Linked DNA regions of Schizosaccharomyces pombe. The gene in region 1 interacts genetically with each later gene. Each region holds a gene or a part of one and is shown in the gene's direction. Other genes may lie near its edges.

Region 1 (5,376 bases):
TCCTAAGCGAACTCGCTCAATTAGTTTATTCAGCATACAATACTAGTACTAGTTCATATGATATAACAATTTTTAAATACAAAAATTCAGTAATATCCCTAATGTTCAAGTGTTTATCGAATACTTGATGTTAAGCAGTAGCAAAAAATGCTACTACCGAAATACATGGTACATACGCCAATGGTTTTGTCGCCTCCATTAACATAAAGAATTTAGCAAGGGCTTTTACATTATCAAATACATAAAGAGTTTTTCAAGCATTTTTTTCCATTGAAGAATCGTGCGTTAGTATTTCATAATGGTGAAGCAAACAGCTGTCTTCAAGACAACAAACTGTACAACACGCTTCCTCATGAAAGACACCAGCTGAGTATTCAATCATCATTCTCTTTGTAGATTTAAGAATATATCTATATTACTTATCGTTTTCGTCAAATCATTTTTTCAAACGTTTCATATGAGTATATTAGCAAGTAAACAATCAATACTTTTGGGAAATAAGCCTCTCAAAATACCAGAATGGGCGAGGTATTTCATTAAAAGTTTCGTTGACGATTTCAAAATGAAAATGTGTTTTTTGTTACAAATACGTGGAAATGGGGTGTTTACCTATTGGATGTATTCTCGTGTATTTTGAGAAAGAAGTACCAAAATTTAAAGTGAGGAAACTAAAGACTTATTTCGCTTTCAAAAGAGCTGAAGTTGCTGGATGCTTACAAGTCTTCCATTTTTATTGATAGTGGGCTTGATATGAGTCAAATCAGGCAAAAGTAATATATACACTGTTGAAAATACAACGGTCTGATAATAGTCATTCATTATCGTTCATATCCATAATCAAATGAATCATTAATTTTCAAATAAGCACAAGTTACGTTTTTTTGTTTTGTAAGGTTTTATACGAATACGCGATAGATTAAGTGAAAAAAAAAAAAAAATCAGAAATCATCAATAGTAGCACGATGAAGAAACAAGAAAATTGAAAATGACCCATCAATGGGAAACGCTCGTTTTTTTGTAAGTCCTAGGAAAGTAACTTTTAGATATATATTTGAGAGAGGAAGATCGAAACATTGAGATGATAAAATTAAAATGAATTGAGTAAGAATACTCGCTTAAACAAGGTTTTTAGGATTTCGTTTTGCGTCTTCAATCATTCGTAAAACACCTTCGGCTTGCTACTCAAAGTCAGTTTCATAGAATACGAACAAAAACCATTGAAAGCAAACACCACGTTTGAAGAAGGTAAAGGGAAATATTAAGGAAGACTTAATATTCTCTCTTTTGTGGCACCCCCAAACCCACTTCAGAACCTGGAGCAAACAGTTTTAAAAAAGATTCGCTATGTATACTTACTGATCGATCTTTTTTGTTCATTTCATAAGAAGCTCGAAGATCCGGTGGAAGTGAATTGACAACTCGTTCGGGAGATGGAGTTGTTAATTTCATTGTCATATAGCCAAATCCAACGATTCCTATTTTATATACTGGTAAGTAACACAATCTTAAGTTCGGGATAGAATCTTTTCAACTAAATCGATCCTATCTCAAAATGTCCATACCAACACCGTATACGATACTTTTAACCACACGATTCATGCTTTAGGTACAACAATTCAAAATGGAGTCTGCAAAAAGCAAACAATAATAAAGGTTGTAATACAGAGAAAAAATAACAGTAAGTATAGGCTCTTGACAGCAATGCTATTGCAGACACAGATGTTATGTAAGGCACCCTATACGTGCTATATAGACGTTCCATGGATGGTTGGCCGGTTTGCAAGGCCTTGTGAAATACGCTGTATTCCGTTATTGATCTTTATTATTTTAACAGAACAGAGCGCTGTTTCGCTAAGATTGTCGAAAAAGGTATCTCCCCGCAATGCGGTGGTAGCTTAAATATAAGGTTTTTTAAGGTAAAGTGTTAAAGGCGATTACTGCGCTATGCCCCACCACCCTGTACATGCTAATTTATTACTGCTGCCACCGCTAATCAGATCTGTCGACTTCGCCCTAACACGATAAAAGAAAATCTCTCATCTTTGTCAGGAATTCATCGTTCAAGTGTTTACAAGTGATATTAAATCTGTAAACAGTTATACTGCTTTGACGAGATTGAGCTAAAAATTTATCATTGTTACCCCCCGCGTTCGTGTCATATCAGCACCTTTGATTTGAAAAAGTGTTGCTCAACTGCGGTTTTTTTCAAAAGAAAAGTACCAAGTTGTTGATCATAAAGGATATTTTTACGCGTGATTGTTTTCTTTCTTATTCTTACACAACGATCTTAGTATTCCAAACGCATTTATTCTTCTTCCATATATAGCCCATATCTCCATACTGATTCACAAAAAGCGACGAAAGTGAAGGAGCCATTGATTTAGGGATTTTGGTACTTTTCATTGTCTCCAATTCTTTTGTATTGCCTTTTTGTAACCTAAATTTTCTTAAGACGAAGGAGCATTTGTTTAAGGCTTTACTTTTATCATATTTCTTTTGTCTTTTTCGTTTGTATGCAGAAGAAAGTCGTTCAGTCTGCTTCTAAGAATGAGGAGCTTGATCCACATTACAAGCGGTCCTCCGTTCCTTTCCCTTATGGATTACCCGATTACGATGCAGAATATCAATTCATCAATCATCATATGCAACAATTGCTTACCCGCCCAGTAGAAGGTACTCATTCTGCCTCTGTACATCCCTCCACATCTTCCACCTCTCATATCTCTTCTCCCTCTGCTTTTTCAGTGCAAAACCCAAATCCAAATGATGCTCCGTTTGTGGGAAACATTGGCTTGGATGCATCTGGGTTTTCCTCCGGTGGCATGAGTGAATACTATCCAAGATCTGTTTCTATGCAACAGTCTCAAGACGTCCATTTCCAAAATACCGAAATTCCATACTACCATCGTTCTCCATCGTCTGATAGTTTTTCACCTGGGGTGGTTGCATCTGTTAACCCTAATTCAAACAACTCTCCTACTTTTTACTCAAATCCTCCTGCATTATCTAATATTCCGATTCCCTTAAACAACTCTCCCTATCGTCCTGAAGATGCTTATTTTCAGTTACAAGGTGCTGGAGTGAAGGCAGACATAAATCCATACAACTTGTCTCCCTATTCTCAATATGGTCCAGAGGGCACTGCATATTCAAATGCGCAAGCTCATCATCAGGATGGTGCTCCTTTGCAGCGCGTTTGTTCAGCACCCGATCCTCCTAAAACCTCTATGCCACCTTTTGGATCCGCCGGGAGTCCATCTCCTAATCGTAGTTTAAACGTTTCCAACAACACGACTCCTCCTCTTTCCACTGTGAATAAAATTATAAAAAAGCCTAAAGCTACTACCGGTAAAGTTAAGAAAAGACTTCCTCAGGCCAAGAGAGCTTGCGCAAAGTGTCAAAAAGACAACAAAAAATGTGATGACGCTCGTCCTTGTCAGCGTTGTATTAAAGCCAAAACTGATTGCATTGATTTACCCAGGAAGAAACGGCCAACGGGAGTTAGAAGAGGCCCTTATAAAAAATTGAGTGATACTTCGAACAACACCAAGTCAACTACTGCATCTTCTGGTCATTCCACGCAAGATTCTCTCAGTTCTAAAATGTTGGATCCTTCAAGTGACAATCAGTTTGCCATGTCTTCCAGACAGATGGATGAAAACGGAATGGCCCAGTATCCTTCCTCAGCTATTAAACAAGAACTAAATCTTCAACCCCAGATACTTGTTTCATCTGCTTCAAAGAACTTTCAACCTAATGTCACTCCTCCTTTTGCTGTCCATCATGATCATTTCAATTCAACATCAATGGATGGTGTGGCGGTATCTAACATGGACGAAACTGGAACTTCCTCAGCTGGTTCAAAGCCTTTTAATCGAAAATCTCGAAACCGAAGTTTTACTAATCCAGTTGGTATGACCGAGGAGCATTTTCTAAGAGAATATGCGCAACACTCTGTAGCTAATCCTTCTTTGCTAATTCATCAGATCCATGGTTTACCTTCTGAACAAGTCCATGGCTTATTATCTCATACGGAACTCGGTAATGCAATGCATAATCAACCGACGTATAACGAAAGCTCAATTGCCGCTGAGAATGTGAACAATTGGATGTTAGAAACGAATGACCACGAAAATTTGTCCATGCAGAGCCATTTTGAGGTTCCCGATTTAAAAATGAACCATCACGATTCTAGCTTTTTTGACCGTCACATAGACCAAACGGCTATGCCTGGACAAAATCAACATGGTACTGTTAAGAATATGGAAACAATGCACCATTTTTATCCAGACGTTCATAATTCGGAGTTTCCTGCTGCCCCAAATCCCGTCAAGTCTCAAGTTCCTTATTATTATCAATCCCAAGCTGCTGATGATGAGGAAGAAGATGTACCGGATCATCAACCTTCTTGGCGTGGGAGAATACACTCGTTTTCAATAGCTACTGATTCGTCACAGCATGTGGTAGAAAGACCATGTATCCATTCATTAAGAGGAATACATGGACAACAGGATGGCGGGCTTGAACAACATGATGGTGATCATGTGAATATGCTTCCTGATACCCATGCGGAGGAGCTAGCGTACACATCCATGCTTTTATTTCATGATATACCTACACGAGACATTAGACCCGACTTTAACGTTCATGAGCTAGTCGATCATGGAACCTATCCTAACTTCCATCAAAACCAAGCCGATTCATTCAAGAATCATCCCTTTAGACAATAATTTTGCGCATATTACCTTTGTTTTTCTCGTTTCTTATTTTGTTTTTGCATTTGAGTGTTTCTCAGTAGATTGACCTACACTATGAATATTGTCAGACGACAGATCATCTTATGATCAAACGTAAGACAATGTGAAAAAAAAAGGAAAATGATTTTTTACTCCCATTTATTACTTTTTTTTTACTCTTCTCTCTCTCTTTGCCAAATTGCCATCTGGACCTATCTTTCTAATATCGGTCTAGTAATTTTGATATACTATGGATGCCCTTTTTGTCTTGTATTCTGCTTACATTGATTAAGAATGTTTTATCTTTCGTTTTCTTTGTGTCTATTTATATTTATTTTTGGGTATATTTTGGGAAAGAAAGTCGTTTTGGGATAAATGTGATCGTACAGATGACGAAAGAAGTTACTATATGTGATTTTCTAAGTATTTGTACCATTTAAGTGTGTCGTTTTCTTATTTTTACTGCTATTGTTATAAACGTTTTGTTATTTAGCCTATTGTGCATTCAACTTTCATTTGCTTCTTTTTCCGTTTTAGAGTTTGTAAAGAGATTTTTGTCATTATTAATCTTATTAATTTATACCAGTTTGGATATCCTGGTATAATGGCTTGACATTACACTTGCATTCATTCGTTGTGA
Region 2 (3,817 bases), on another chromosome or scaffold:
TGAGGAATATTACACAAAGGTTTCCCCATGGATGAGCTCTATTGTAGACGATGTCATGTACGTTACGAAGCAAGTATTCCAACGTGCGTTTTTTACAGTCTCCTCTTTATTCTTCACCAGATTTGTTAACGAAAGCTTAATCCCTATTTTAAGAAATGATTACTATGTCTACCTTTCCCATAATCTTTTAACTGTCTGTAACATTATAAAAGCTCAGTTCCAGAGGCTAAAGAATGCAAATAGCATTCCCGCCAAACAAGTCGAAAACTACATAACATTGGTAAATAGTGCTTCACTCAGCAAGCAATATCTAAAATCAATTGTGGATGGTGTTTCTAGTCGGTTGGAAGAAGTTTTTGCCTTTGCCAAAGACCAAAAATTGGTAAAGAAATCGATTGATAATTTTTTGCAGCTAACCGTTAATTTTGAAAATCTTTGCAAGACTTCTTTCAACATGTACTTTCCGATATTTTTATTACCCCGAATTGAGCAATGCATCGATGATTCCTTTGATGGAATCAACTATGTCTTGTCCTATGAAGACTATACGAAGGAGACAGAACATGAAAGACTGGTAGTTACCCGTCTTCGCAGCGTTTGGGACAGGGTTTTGTTGCTGGAGCAATTTACTCCTGAAAATCAGCTTTCTTTACGCTCTATGGCATGCGAGAAAGCTGCAAGTTATATAGAAAACCTCATACTATATAAGATTCAGTGGAATGATTATGGTGCTATGGCATTAGAAAACGACATTTCTAGCTTAATTACTATCTTTTCCAATGATCAAGCTAATCTCCGACATAGCTTTGAGCGTTTGCAAGAAATTCTAATCTTATTAGTATGGGAAAGTGATTCTACAGCCCCAGAGCAATTGATCAACGATTTAAACCTACAGCTACTATCCATAGATATTGTTAGCGCTATTATGGAAAAGAAAGCGAATGTTCAAGGTGAAGATTAACGACCTTTTTTATTCAGGATATTTGAAGAAGCACCAAAAGTTCTTTAGTTGTAATCTCCTGTCATATCCTAAATTTATCCTAAAAAACGGCGGATCATCGTCTCCACGTTTAGCATGATGCCGATATCTATTTTTTTTTCACTCTATTTTTGTTTTTATTTCTTTATTCGTATATTGAAAATTTTGACAACCGGCTACCCTGACGCAGTGCAACTCGATCATCATTTATCTTAGTTTATTATTTCTTCCACACTTTGATAAGTTTTCCGCTAAAAGTTGAAGCAACCCCTTTGTTAAAAAAATAATACAGGAATGGAGTTAATATTCATGACCAATTGTATATAGCATCAAATATCGACTCTTTTAATCTTTATTAGTTCTAATTTTTCTCGTGATCGGCCTTCTTAAATAAGTATTGTGATTATAATATACCGAGGCGCAAAGGAGTGTGATACAGTTTATATCGTTTAATTATGCAGTTTGCAATCAGTTTAATGAAGGTTAAAATTGCGATGAGTATTAGTTGTGACCTAGAATTCCAGTATACAGGTACAATAAGTAACATACACTGTCAATCTTCAGTTACATAGTATTATATTTTTCACCAATATAGCTAATAACTGAAATTGAGGATGCTTGTACAGTTATGCTTATATTGATAATTTTTTTAGCTGCTCAAATTTTAATAGTTTATTAAAAATAGTATGCCTTTACCATACAATATATAGCGAAAGATAAACAGACCATATGGCATGTATCGATATTTAACGCAGTATAGTATTAATAATATAACGCATTACAATTATGCCATAATATCGCTCTTTGAACATTAAGATACTTTACCTGTTGGTGTATTTTCTCGTGGTTTTTCTTTAACTTTTTCCCTTCCCTTACTACAATCATTTATCATGTCTTCATACATCTTGTTTGGTTTGGAAAACCCTCTGTTGGATTACTATGTTGGTGGTGAAACTGCAACTCTTGAAAAGTATGGCTTGAAGAGCAACGACGCCGTCTTAGCTTCTGAGAGCCAGATGGGTATCTACAAGGAGCCATGCGTTAGCTACAGTGCCGGTGGTGCAGCTCAAAACAGCTGCCGTGCTGCTCAATACGTACTTCCTCCTAACTCTACTGTTTTCGCCGGCTGCGTTGGTCAAGATAAGTTTGCTGATATGCTTCTTGAATCGAACGAAAAAGCTGGATTACGATCTGAGTTTTCTGTTGATCCCACTACACCTACTGGTGTTTGTGCTGTCGTCTTGAGCAACAACAATAAAAATCGCTCCCTTTGTACCAACTTGGGAGCTGCTAACAACTACAAGCTCAAGGACTTGCAACAGCCGAATGTATGGAAGTTCGTTGAGGAAGCAAAGGTTATTTACGTCGGTGGTTTTCACTTGACCGTCAGTCCCGAATCCATGTTATGTTTAGCTCAACATGCTAATGAGAATAACAAGCCCTATATCATGAATCTTAGCGCTCCTTTCCTCTCTCAATTTTTCAAGGAGCAAATGGATTCCGTTATCCCATATTGTGATTATGTTATTGGCAACGAAGCTGAAATCCTTAGCTACGGGGAGAATCATGGAATCAAAAGTACCGACGTCCAGGAGATTGCGCTGGCCTTGTCTTCTGTTGAGAAGGTTAACAAGAAACGCACCCGTGTTGTTGTCATTACTCAAGGAGCCGATGCCACGATCGTTGCTAAAGACGGTAAAGTAACCACTTACAAGCCCAACCGCGTCCCATCTGAGGAAATCGTCGATACCAATGGTGCCGGAGATGCCTTTGCTGGTGGATTTATTGCTGCTCTTTCTCAAGGCCAAGGAATCGATTATGCTGTTACTCTCGGTCATTGGCTTGGACAAGAATGCATCAAGGTTAGCGGCACTACTCTTCCTCTTCCCAAAAAGCAGTTCCCTTTACCTTAGACTATTGCATTTTAGTGATTTTTTAAACTGTCAACGTAGATAACGCACTTCGTTTTAATTAGATGTTTAACTTTAAAAATTGTGCACACTATGATTGCAATTAGTTAGAAAAGCAGGCTTTATTCTTTGACATTGATATTTTGTTATCTTATTGATATGTCATGGGTTCTGTCGTATCATTGTTATAAGCTAATAGAACAAGTCTATTTTTGCTAAGCTGATATAAATAACTGGATATTATATTGCAAGGAAATAACCCATTTTGACTTCTTGAGGGATTTGTATATGCCATTTATTCCAATGTTAAGAAATTTGCTAAATAAAGCATTGCTGAGGGGAGCTAAGCTAACGCTGATTTTATTACCGAGAATATTTCTTTGTTGAATAGAAATATAAAGAATTTAAATTCATTTCAATCGATGGAATTTAGGATTTCAAATAAAAATTGGACGAATTACTTTTATAATAGTGTACTGTTGAGTAAATTTTTACGTGTCTTTATGTTATTGAAAGTAGTTTAGCGTTATTTTGAATGCTCTTATAAAAATATCGTTAATTAGTTCAACGCAATCCCATAAGCACCAGTATGCGGAGGTAGCTATGCTTGGTTAATACCAGTGATCTCTTCTTCTACCAACATTTGCACTTGGAAACACAGCTACGATGAAGAGCGCATTGTGTATTGCTTTGGCCCTTACATGGTCGCTTTTAGTACAAGCAGCTCGTCAGACGGTTTTGGCTGTTGCCGACCATGATATCGGTGGATATAGCACATTTTTACAATCACTTACGGGTACGATATTGACTAACGCGTTCAGTAACTAACTGTTACTATGTAGACAGAGATTTTGATGTGAAAACTTCTTACATCAAAGATGAAAGTGCAAAGCTATTTGAATATGGTGAACGTCTTTACGACAACTTG
Region 3 (6,244 bases), 470 kb from region 1:
AAGAACCTTTTGAAATTACTTGAGTTAATGGTTTATTCTTTTCGCGAAATTCTATATCGCTGTAATTTGTGTGATCGTAGACTTCCTATTTGTGTTGGATGCGTACTAAAGTTTGCTTGGAATCCTGTTAATACATGTTTTTAAAAACCACTGAAAGTGTATAGCAATGCTTGTAGAGCGTATATCCAAGATTTAAATAATATGCTATGTAATTCTGTGCGATGGGTAATATAGTTAATTATTTAAATAGCTATAAAATATAGAACGACTACTGTTTAGGTTTGTCCATGCTACATCTTGGAAGAAAATAGAAATATAGTATTCTTGTTGGCTAATGCAATAAATCTTCAAGTTTATATAGCAAATTGTGAAGTCAGTATTCGTAAATTTGACAAAAATTTAATGATAATTTATTTTTTCAGATTTGCTGACTTTAAGTAGTCGGTATCTGCTTTTTATGCATAAACAAGAAGATTCAGTTCGAGGATCAGAATCCTTTTTTGTATCATCAAACTTGAAATTGTCTTATAACATCATTAAAGCCAACCGAGTGTACCAAGCATGCGATAATGTAAGTTTTAAGAATCATTCAAAAGTATATTTTTCAAAGCTTGAGCAACGACAGAAATAACCTGTAAAATTCTAATGAATCAATGGGCTGTGCAATCAATTTATAATCAGTTGAGATTTGTTGCTCTGAGAATAGTAATACTTACACGCCTTTACAAATAAGCGTGTTTTAGTCATTAAGTTAGAGCACTATCGTTGTTCGAATACAATAACAATTATTTAAAAAAGCGATGTGATGAGGAAAACAACAAAAAGCGTAGTACTGTCATTCAAATCAAAGTAATGTAAAAATAATGAACAATTTTAAACAATGATGATAGCTTCGATACTTGTCTCACAGCTCATATAAATCTTCGTTGACACCTTTTTCTATACTATGCTACTCAAATCAATTTGTCGGTCCGAAGAAGCGATGTATAACGTGTCACATAATGTTAATATAAAGGGCATAAATAAAATCAAAAGTAATTATACTTAAAAAACAGAAGAAGGAAGCTCAAGGAAAACGATCATAAATAAATTAAATGCAAAGGAAATTAAATGTTATTTTGCAAATATAAACACAATTCATTTGGGCTTAATTCGTTTTCCATCCCTTGAGCATATATATTCTTTGCATTGTGCCAAAGAAGCTCTTAATATTGTGGGAAAAGAAAATAAAAACAATAAAACTAAAGAAAACGATCATTAAAGAGAGTGCAAAGCTGAAACCATAATACATCTGAGAGAAACATGAGTTAAGCATTCGAGTATCTCAAATTTTATGAATACTCGCCTCAGCTTAAAATGAAAAAATAAAAAAATCACGAATAAGCAAACACCATTTCCCTCAAATATTAAAGATAAATTTCCTCGCACAGCTATGCTTCATTTTAGGCTTGAATATACTGATGTCTTTGAATAGAATAAATCCTAGTATGACCTGGAGCCCAACCAAGAGAGTGGATAAATGCATGAGCAAAGATCTCCCCGAATCCCAACATAACTCCATTCAAGAAAGGAAGGCCCAAATTAATTGCCGCATACTTGAAAATATGAATAACTTGTGAAAACAAGGTTTTTGGAACTGTAACTGTATTTTTCTCCATCCTGCTTGTCCAACAAATACTATAACGAAACGAACCAACCGGTAATCAACACAATTTTCAAATAACTCCTTTAGAGAAGTTTTTATATCAACTTTCAAAGCAATTGCACGAATAATATTTTTGGCGTAAATTCTATTATTAAGAATCAACTGAGTTGATGGGGCAAGTATATGTGGAAGGATACTTTATTCCCAATCAAAATTACGAGTGTCCCGTTCTTAGATGCTGTCAACGCTTTAAGGCGTCAGGACAATGGTTAATGAGCAAAACACTTTCCTCCTTATTCATTTAACGAAATTAAGTTAGTAACTAATACCGTAATGCAAGCTCTGACAAAATATAAAATGCGACATCTTTCATCATACATATATAGCGGTGAACACAACATTCGTCTTCACTAGGGAAGAGTATCACGGATCTTTTAACTGCTTCCATTACGAGCATCGAATAGTCCAAACCCAAATTAAGTGTTCTCTGGGGTTTGCAAAGCTCAGAAGCAACTTCTATTGACTCTGCAGGACTTCGGTTCATGACTACCCGCTCGTGATCTTAATTTAGATCGATCTTTTTGTCAAACAGATTAACAATACTTATTTCATTAACGGCTACTGGGAAATTTTGATTTATTTAAGTTGTACTGAGTTCAAAAGCCCTTGAATCTTTCAAACACCATTTTTTGTTTTTGAAATTGCCTGGGAAATTGTATTACAGATTTTGGAAAATTTCGTCCTAGTCTGAAGTGTCCTCTTTTTTTCTACTTAGGTAAAGTTTTTTTTTCTTTTATATACCGATTTCCTTCTTTTTAGAATGCGTCCCTCTGTAATCACGGTTGCTGTTCTTTTTGTACAGTCGACATGGGCTTCTTTTGCATTTGGCAACCCTATGAGTATGCGAAATAAAGCGCATACAAATGATTTAGTTAATAGCAAAGGAAAACCACTTGTTGGTAGATTTTTGCATATCACCGATATGCATCCTGACATTTATTACGAAAAAGGATCCACCGTCGATCATTATTGTCATTCCTATGATCATAATTCTGACGATACTCCCTTGGGTAAAAGCAAAGTGGGTTACCTCTCTCCTGGTCCTGGTTATGAATGTGATTCTTCACCAGCATTAATTGATAAGACATTGGAATGGCTTAAGGAACATCAAGATGATGTTCTGGGAGGCATTGACTTCATACTGTGGACTGGTGATAATTCTAGGCATGACAATGATAACCATTTTCCAAGAACACAAAGTGAAATTCTTGCTTCAAATGAGGACTTGGTTAATAAAATGATAGAGGCGTTTCCTGACGTTCCAATTGTTTCCGCTATCGGGAATAATGATATATATCCTCATAACATTATGGAAGCTGGTCCATCTTCAATGACTCGACAACTAGCTGGTGCTTGGGATGCTTTAATTCCTTATGAGGAACGACACACTTTTGAAAAGGGCTCTTATTACCTATGTGATGTGATTCCGGACAAGCTAGCAGCAATTTCCATTAACACTCTTTACCTATCAAACAAAAATGCCGCGGTCGATGGTTGTCCTGATGATAATCTAGACGAACCTGGTTCTCTTTTTATGCGATGGTTCAAAATACAGCTTGAAGCGTATCGGCTAAAGGGAATGAAAGTTTGGCTTCTAGGACATATTCCCCCTACAAGGGGCCAGTGGTATGAAGATTGTTATACTTCTTTTACGGATTTGCTTTATGAGTTTCGAGATATTATAGTTGGACAACTCTATGGTCATATGAACATAAACCATTTTGTGTTTTTGGAATTCGATAAGTTACCTGTTGATACAGAATCTTATGGAATCAAAAGTGCGCAACCAAAATATGTAAAATCTTTAATTGATGCCCAATACGCGGAGCTTCCTACATTTCCCGAGAATTTAACAGAGGAGTTTCTTAATGGAACCGTCGGGAATTACTCCTTGGCTACCGTTGGTGGTTCGATTATACCTGAAATGTTTCCAACTTTTCGCGTTTACGAGTACAATATTTCTGATATTGCTAATCAGCTGGATGATCGGGAAGAGCTAACTGAAATCACTTCTTTTAACTGGGAAACGCTTGAAGAGCAGTCTCAATCAGATTATGAGATAGACAAGAAAAAGAAGAAAAAAAAGAAGAATAATAAAAAAAAGAAGAAGAACAAGAGGAAGAATATTAAGCCCGGTCCTTTGGGACCGGCATACGTTCCGTCACTTTTTACTCCTATTTCATTTAAGCAGTATTTCTTAAACACGTCAAATTACATGGATGCAACGAAAGATACCGAAATTTCTTATGAATTGCTATATACTTCGAAGGACTCTCCATATAATATGCCTGATTTAACTGTGCCAGAGTATATGCGTCTAGCAAAAAGAATAGCAACTTGTGACAAACCAGAAGATCCTCATCAATTCAAATTACAGAGTGGCGATCAAAACACTTTTAGAATTTCTAAAAAGAAGAAGCCATCTATTTGTCCGATAGCCTATACATATCTTTGGCATGCGTATATTGGTTCAATATCGGATTTTGAGGACTGATGATTGATATATTTGTTGCCATACCTTTAATAATATTTATTTAATATACAATCAACGATGTTCCTTGACATTTTGAGTTCATCACGAACATCAAGTATTAAGTTGTTTCATATACATGTCAGCCAATATTGAATTCGTGGATGCGTCCTCTGGTCCTTTGTCTGACCGAACTCTAATGAAGCGTGGGAATCGAATTGATAAACCGCGATCATCCTGAATTAATCCCAAAGCCGCCTTGTATGCAGGTGAGGATGTTATTTGAGCACCCTTAATTTCCCAAACTTCTTGAGGGGCAAAGTATATTTGTGGAGTTACCTTACCTGTTTCGCAAAAATTATATATGGGTTTAAGACTGCTATTGCCAGATTCTAAGGAATACTTTTGTGTTAATTCCTTATAAAATTGGTCACTAAAACCGGACATGCATTTACAGACTGCTTCATACGCGCCAGTGTCTGGATTGTAAACAGCAAGCAAAATTGGACTGAACCATCCGGCTTTTCTTCCATTACCGTACCAAGCGCCTATGGGAACAAGATCCAATGACTCAAATTCATCATCATAATCCTGTTTGACTTTAATCCATCCCTCACCTCTTTTATCAGGTTCATACGTTGAAGGAAACTTTGAGTTTGTTCCATTCAGTACCTTCACCATTAATCCTTCGCATTTATTAGTAATTGCAAGACTAAAAAATTCTTGAATGGATTGCTCCTCATTTGTTTCCAAAGAAGACACGAACTGAAAGCGATTTGGAATTAAATTAAAATGCTCAAAAAACATTCTTCTTCTTTCAATTAAAGGCATTTGTAAGCAAGATTTCCCATCACAAAACATAATATCAAAAACAAAAACACACACGTCTATTGTAATATCAGCCACTGTAACTTTTTTTCTTTCTCTAGTTGAAAGTTTTTGAAAATCCAGTATCTGACCATTACTTTTGTCAATAGCCACCAATTCGCCTTCTATAATAAAATCACATGAATGTTTCAATGCTAATTGAGCAACTTCAATGACATCCGGAAATCTTCCTGTAATTTCCTCCAAATGGCGGCTAAATATCTTAATGTTTCCAAGTCTATCGCAATGAATTTGTGCTCTTTGTCCATCGTACTTGAACTCACAAGAGAAGTTATGATCAGTCAATCTTTCTAACATATGCTGCAAATTCTTTGTGATAGAACCAAGCATAGGTTTTACTGGGATTCCAGGGCGAATAGACATATTGTCTTTTAAGTTTTCTATCCCCTCTCGAAGAAGGGTTGCAACCAAAATGTTATAATCAGGGACCTGAAAGAAACTTTGTTTAACAATCTCTTCTCCTTGACGAAATTGTTGTTGAAGTGAGTCAGAATTAAAATTAAATATTTCGTTTTGATTGTCAAAAATAAAAAAAGCTTTGCTTAGTGAAGCTAACATGGTGTTTTGAACAGCCCCTATTCTTAGATTTTGCATTATACTCCTCCCTATATATCGAACCTCCTCAGCATTAGAACTTATCAATAAAAATTTAGTTAACTCTAATTTACGGTTCTGGGCACCATTACCGTTACTGTCAGCAATCTTTAGTAAAGTAGAATAAACCTTCTTAATAGTCAAAGGTTCTGGTCTGCTTAACGTGCGCACAGACACTTTAGCTTCGAACGCTACATCTCCTGGATCGCCATATTTGTTCCATAAATTTTTCAAAGCACTTGCTGTAATGCCACAAACTTCTTTCAAAGCTTTAGAGTACATTGCAGGTCCGACACCAAGGTTTTTTCCATAAAAGTTGGGGGCAATAGAATTGGTACATAACCAAACTGTTGCAATTAAGGAATCAGGATCTGCATACAGAAGTGTGAGAAGGAAATTGGTTAATAATGTGACAATGCGTATCCTGGATTTGGTAGAACTAATTAAGGAAAAGGTGTTAGCAAGTGATGAGTAACTGAAGCTTTTTGTATCTTTTGAAACAAATCGGGCTCGACAACTTTTCACGTAAGTCAAAGGATCTTTCTGTAAAGCATCGTAATCAATTGTGGAATCTTTGTTCACGCTAT
Region 4 (3,606 bases), on another chromosome or scaffold:
TTGAAAAATTTGGTTGAGCAGTAAAACCTTCAAATGGAGATTGAATACTTTCCGTTTCATCTTTTAAATAATAATCGAGATCAAATTCTTTATCAGGAATAATGATTTTCGGTTTTAGAGGTTTTTTATTTTTATCAAATAAAATGGACGAAGTATCACTGTTTAATGACAAATTGGTGATTGTAGGATATAAGTGATTGGTTTCAACAATATCTTTATTTGTTAATCCAGCTGATTCCTCCTCATCAGGAGGGCGTGGTAGCGTTTTTTTGAACCACCTTCTCATCTTCAAGAGCCGTAGAAACGAGCCTCAAATCGCTCTATCAAATATACGCTTAGATTTTTTCTGTAAAGCAGCATCCAAGTTTATGATAGTGAGAATCAATTTTGGGGAGACAATTACAGTTGTAATGATTGAAACAATGGTTTGTTTAACCCTGAATGCTTGTCAACAATGTTTCAATTGCCAATGATTGTAGAAGCCAACGATATGAAAATAAAATATTATAAAAGAAGGAATTGTTATACTCTTTTAATATTTAAATACAAAGAGAGTAAGAAGATTAATGTTTACAAAAGAAAAAAAAGTGATGAGGTGGTGGAAGATTGCAACAAACTAAAGTGTACTTTTTTTATGATTGAAGAATGGCATTTACTCGCTATATTGTATGACAAATCTAAATACATAAAAATAATTATTTGTTCCGTATTGTTAAAACTAAATACAACTGTAATTATAAGAAGGAATACACATACCAAAGTTTATGTTATGAACAAATTTTATCAAAAGCTTAAAAAGTAAATCATATCTCATTATTTATTCATATAAAAAAAATTAAAAAATAACAATTTATACAATGGCTTGCTAAGGTATATAACAAAGCAAACGAAAAGCCAATTTTCTTCCAACATTACTCATTTTATTTAGATATATTATTATTTTAAACGATTTTCTTTTTATTCCAAACGTAATAGAAGTAGTTGAATTGTATAAATTATTGTTTTTTATATAATAAACATTTTTTTTCGCTATAATAATTGTTTTAAATAAAACAGATATTGGGAATTTAAATTATCCAATCTTTTTTTTGTTAAATTATTTTATTTTATTTTCCTCGACATTAAAATGCATCAACAATTGGTTAGTGTTAATTGATTCTCTTACTATCAATATTATCAGATTCAAAAAGCCCAACTTATCAAGAGTTAGTGAAGGAATCAGCAATGATCAGATAGAACAACAGAACAGTAAATACAATGCAAAACTTCGAAAACCGTGTATTAAAAGATTAAGACTTACAGATTTTCTACAAGCGTACTCCTTTTAAAAAGCCTCATTTTGTCCAAAGAATTGATAATGTGGGTATTTTTCGATGCGAAATCTACGAATACAAACAACTTCGCAAATTGGAGATTACTGCATACAAAATGAAAATGTATTTTCCTCGCAAGCTATTTATTTTGAAAAATTATAAATTACCTATTTTCTAATACAATCTCTCATTTTAAATATCACCGCAAATTATTTGGTCTCCGACAACTGTTTAGCGTGTCGGTTTGTACTTCACTATTTCGTTATCCCAACCTAAATCACTGGGAGAAACCTTCGGAAAACCACTTTTCGCGATCGATTTATATTCATCGGAATAGGAGATTTATATCTCTTCCTTGTTCAAAAAGAACTCAGATTCTTTTGAACATCTTGCTTTTGCCTTTTCAGACATCGTTTCCTTACTCTACCATAAGGCAAGAAATTATACCAAATCCATTCAACTTGTCGAAAAGAAGAGTACTTTATAGTTCATATGCTTGAAAATAACGGAAGTGTGATTTTAATGGAGCCGGATCATCTACGGACGGCAGTGAACCGCTCAATGACTTCTCGTGAAGGTCGAACGAAAAATCGATTCAATCCTATTACAGGAGCCAGACTTGCTGCGGGTGTTGTTGCTTTATCTGCAGACAAAAGGAAAGTCCTATTAGTTTCTTCTGCTAAAAAACATCCTTCTTGGGTAGTTCCTAAGGGTGGATGGGAGGCTGATGAATCTGTTCAGCAAGCTGCCCTTCGTGAAGGTTGGGAAGAAGGCGGACTAGTGGGTCATATCACTAGATCCCTTGGGTCTTTCAAGGATAAGCGTCCTACTGATACTATTGACAGAAGGAAAAAATATTTGAAGCAATTAATGTCAAAAAGTAGCGGAAATGACGTCTCAACCAATACCGAGTTAGGAGCCGAAGCAGAGAAATTATTACTTCCACCTAGAGCCGAATGTGAATTTTTTGAAGTTATTGTTGAAAGATTAGAAGACAATTACCCAGAGATGAGGAAGCGTCGCCGAAAATGGATGTCTTATCAAGAAGCAAAGGAAGCGTTGACAAGTCGTAAAGATATTTTGGCAGCTCTTGAGAAGAGCTCTATCATTAAAGAGGAAAACTGAAGTACAGATGCATAATGTTTACCATTTGCAACCTTTTATTCAAATATTTTAATTTACCATTTTTTTTGATTTCTTGCTTCAATATTTATCTTTTTCCATGGGATTACGAAATTGTTATATCTATTAGTTACCATGTCAAGTGTGTTAAAAAGGCTTGAAGTTTGCAAATCTTGATTCTTATTTTTTTTTTCAGCAAGCTGGGTCAAATTGAGTTTTCGACATAAAGCTCATTTCATGAAACATATATCCTTTAAAGGATTTCAGCGGTACAGCATATATTCCAGCAGTTCAACTGCTATTTTTTCTTTCCTTTTTTAAAAGTTTTTACTCTCTTTGTATATTTTCGATTAAGATCATTGTCTGCATAACATACTAATTCTATTTATAAATATATTTTCAATTGAATCGCATGATAATTCAAATTTTTTAAAACAAAGTTTCATTCCTTAAAAAATCATCTAATCCCACCTGTTTGATGCTAGGGTGCGAGTTAATCGTTATCGTTGTGTGCTATGCATAAAAAGCACATTAGTTGCTAGCATATTAATTGTTTGCAACCAATTTTGATTAGTGACGTTAATAAAAACAAAATTGTTCCATACGGTAAAACGTATTCGTTGTTAGATACTAATGAGCCCAAGAAGTTTCGTGTGTCAATTTGAATATGTCGTGTAATTTTATATTGGCTTTCAGCAATCATATAGCTATGAATTATAGTGAATCCATTGACGCTCATTACACTTACGTGCGATAATTTTAAAAAATACTTTTCAATTAGTAGTAAATAGATAGCGAAACGACGAACTATAGCAAACATCAATCCGTTAGTATAAATATTCGTACAAAATGCTTATATAAGAATTTGAGAATTACTTAATATATTTGATTGACGTTGTTCAACGTGAAAATGTACATAAAAGCAATTTATAACCACACCTAAAAATCCAAACAAACTGCAAAATTAAAAACGTAGGATTTAGCAGTTATGTTAGTAAAGCTTCAGCTATCAGAATAAAAAATTTTTAGAAAAAGAAACAAGAAGAAAATACATATATATATTTTTATTTTCAGAACTTTGACGGTCATAGCCAATTCTTTTAAAAATGAACTAAATAGCACTGTCTCACATTCTAACAATTGTCGTTAATCCTGTTAGATCCCAGCATAA

Evidence for each region.
Region 2: of pho7 (region 1) and ado1, changing one suppresses a phenotype caused by changing the other (phenotypic suppression), as found in Schizosaccharomyces pombe (one study listed by BioGRID).
Region 3: of pho7 (region 1) and SPOM_SPBC713.07C, changing one suppresses a phenotype caused by changing the other (phenotypic suppression), as found in Schizosaccharomyces pombe (one study listed by BioGRID).
Region 4: of pho7 (region 1) and aps1, changing one suppresses a phenotype caused by changing the other (phenotypic suppression), as found in Schizosaccharomyces pombe (2 studies listed by BioGRID).

The regions. Positions count from the first base shown.
Region 1 is NC_003423.3:1,344,603-1,349,978, reverse strand, and holds pho7 (transcription factor Pho1), read left to right. Parts: upstream 1-2,004; 5' UTR 2,005-2,513; coding exon 2,514-4,730; 3' UTR 4,731-4,867; downstream 4,868-5,376. Other genes in the region: protein Cbp4, read right to left, coding at 1,116-1,178, 1,357-1,475, 1,563-1,599.
Region 2 is NC_003421.2:1,349,137-1,352,953, reverse strand, and holds ado1 (adenosine kinase), read left to right. Parts: upstream 1-1,835; 5' UTR 1,836-1,869; coding exon 1,870-2,892; 3' UTR 2,893-3,317; downstream 3,318-3,817. Other genes in the region: COG complex subunit Cog4, read left to right, coding at 1-961; dolichyl-diphosphooligosaccharide--protein glycotransferase subunit Wbp1, read left to right, coding at 3,556-3,685, 3,732-3,817.
Region 3 is NC_003423.3:877,874-884,117, reverse strand, and holds SPOM_SPBC713.07C (polyphosphatase), read left to right. Parts: upstream 1-2,029; 5' UTR 2,030-2,465; coding exon 2,466-4,199; 3' UTR 4,200-4,289; downstream 4,290-6,244. Other genes in the region: MIM complex subunit Mim1, read right to left, coding at 1,443-1,658; adl1 (DNA ligase), read right to left, coding at 4,290-6,244. UniProt on the Schizosaccharomyces pombe protein: Catalyzes the hydrolysis of inorganic polyphosphate (polyP) chains of many hundreds of phosphate residues into shorter lengths.
Region 4 is NC_003424.3:198,430-202,035, forward strand, and holds aps1 (diadenosine 5',5'''-p1,p6-hexaphosphate hydrolase Aps1), read left to right. Parts: upstream 1-1,608; 5' UTR 1,609-1,805; coding exon 1,806-2,438; 3' UTR 2,439-3,088; downstream 3,089-3,606. Other genes in the region: chs1 (chitin synthase I), read right to left, coding at 1-286; SPOM_SPAC13G6.13 (uncharacterized protein), read left to right, coding at 455-802.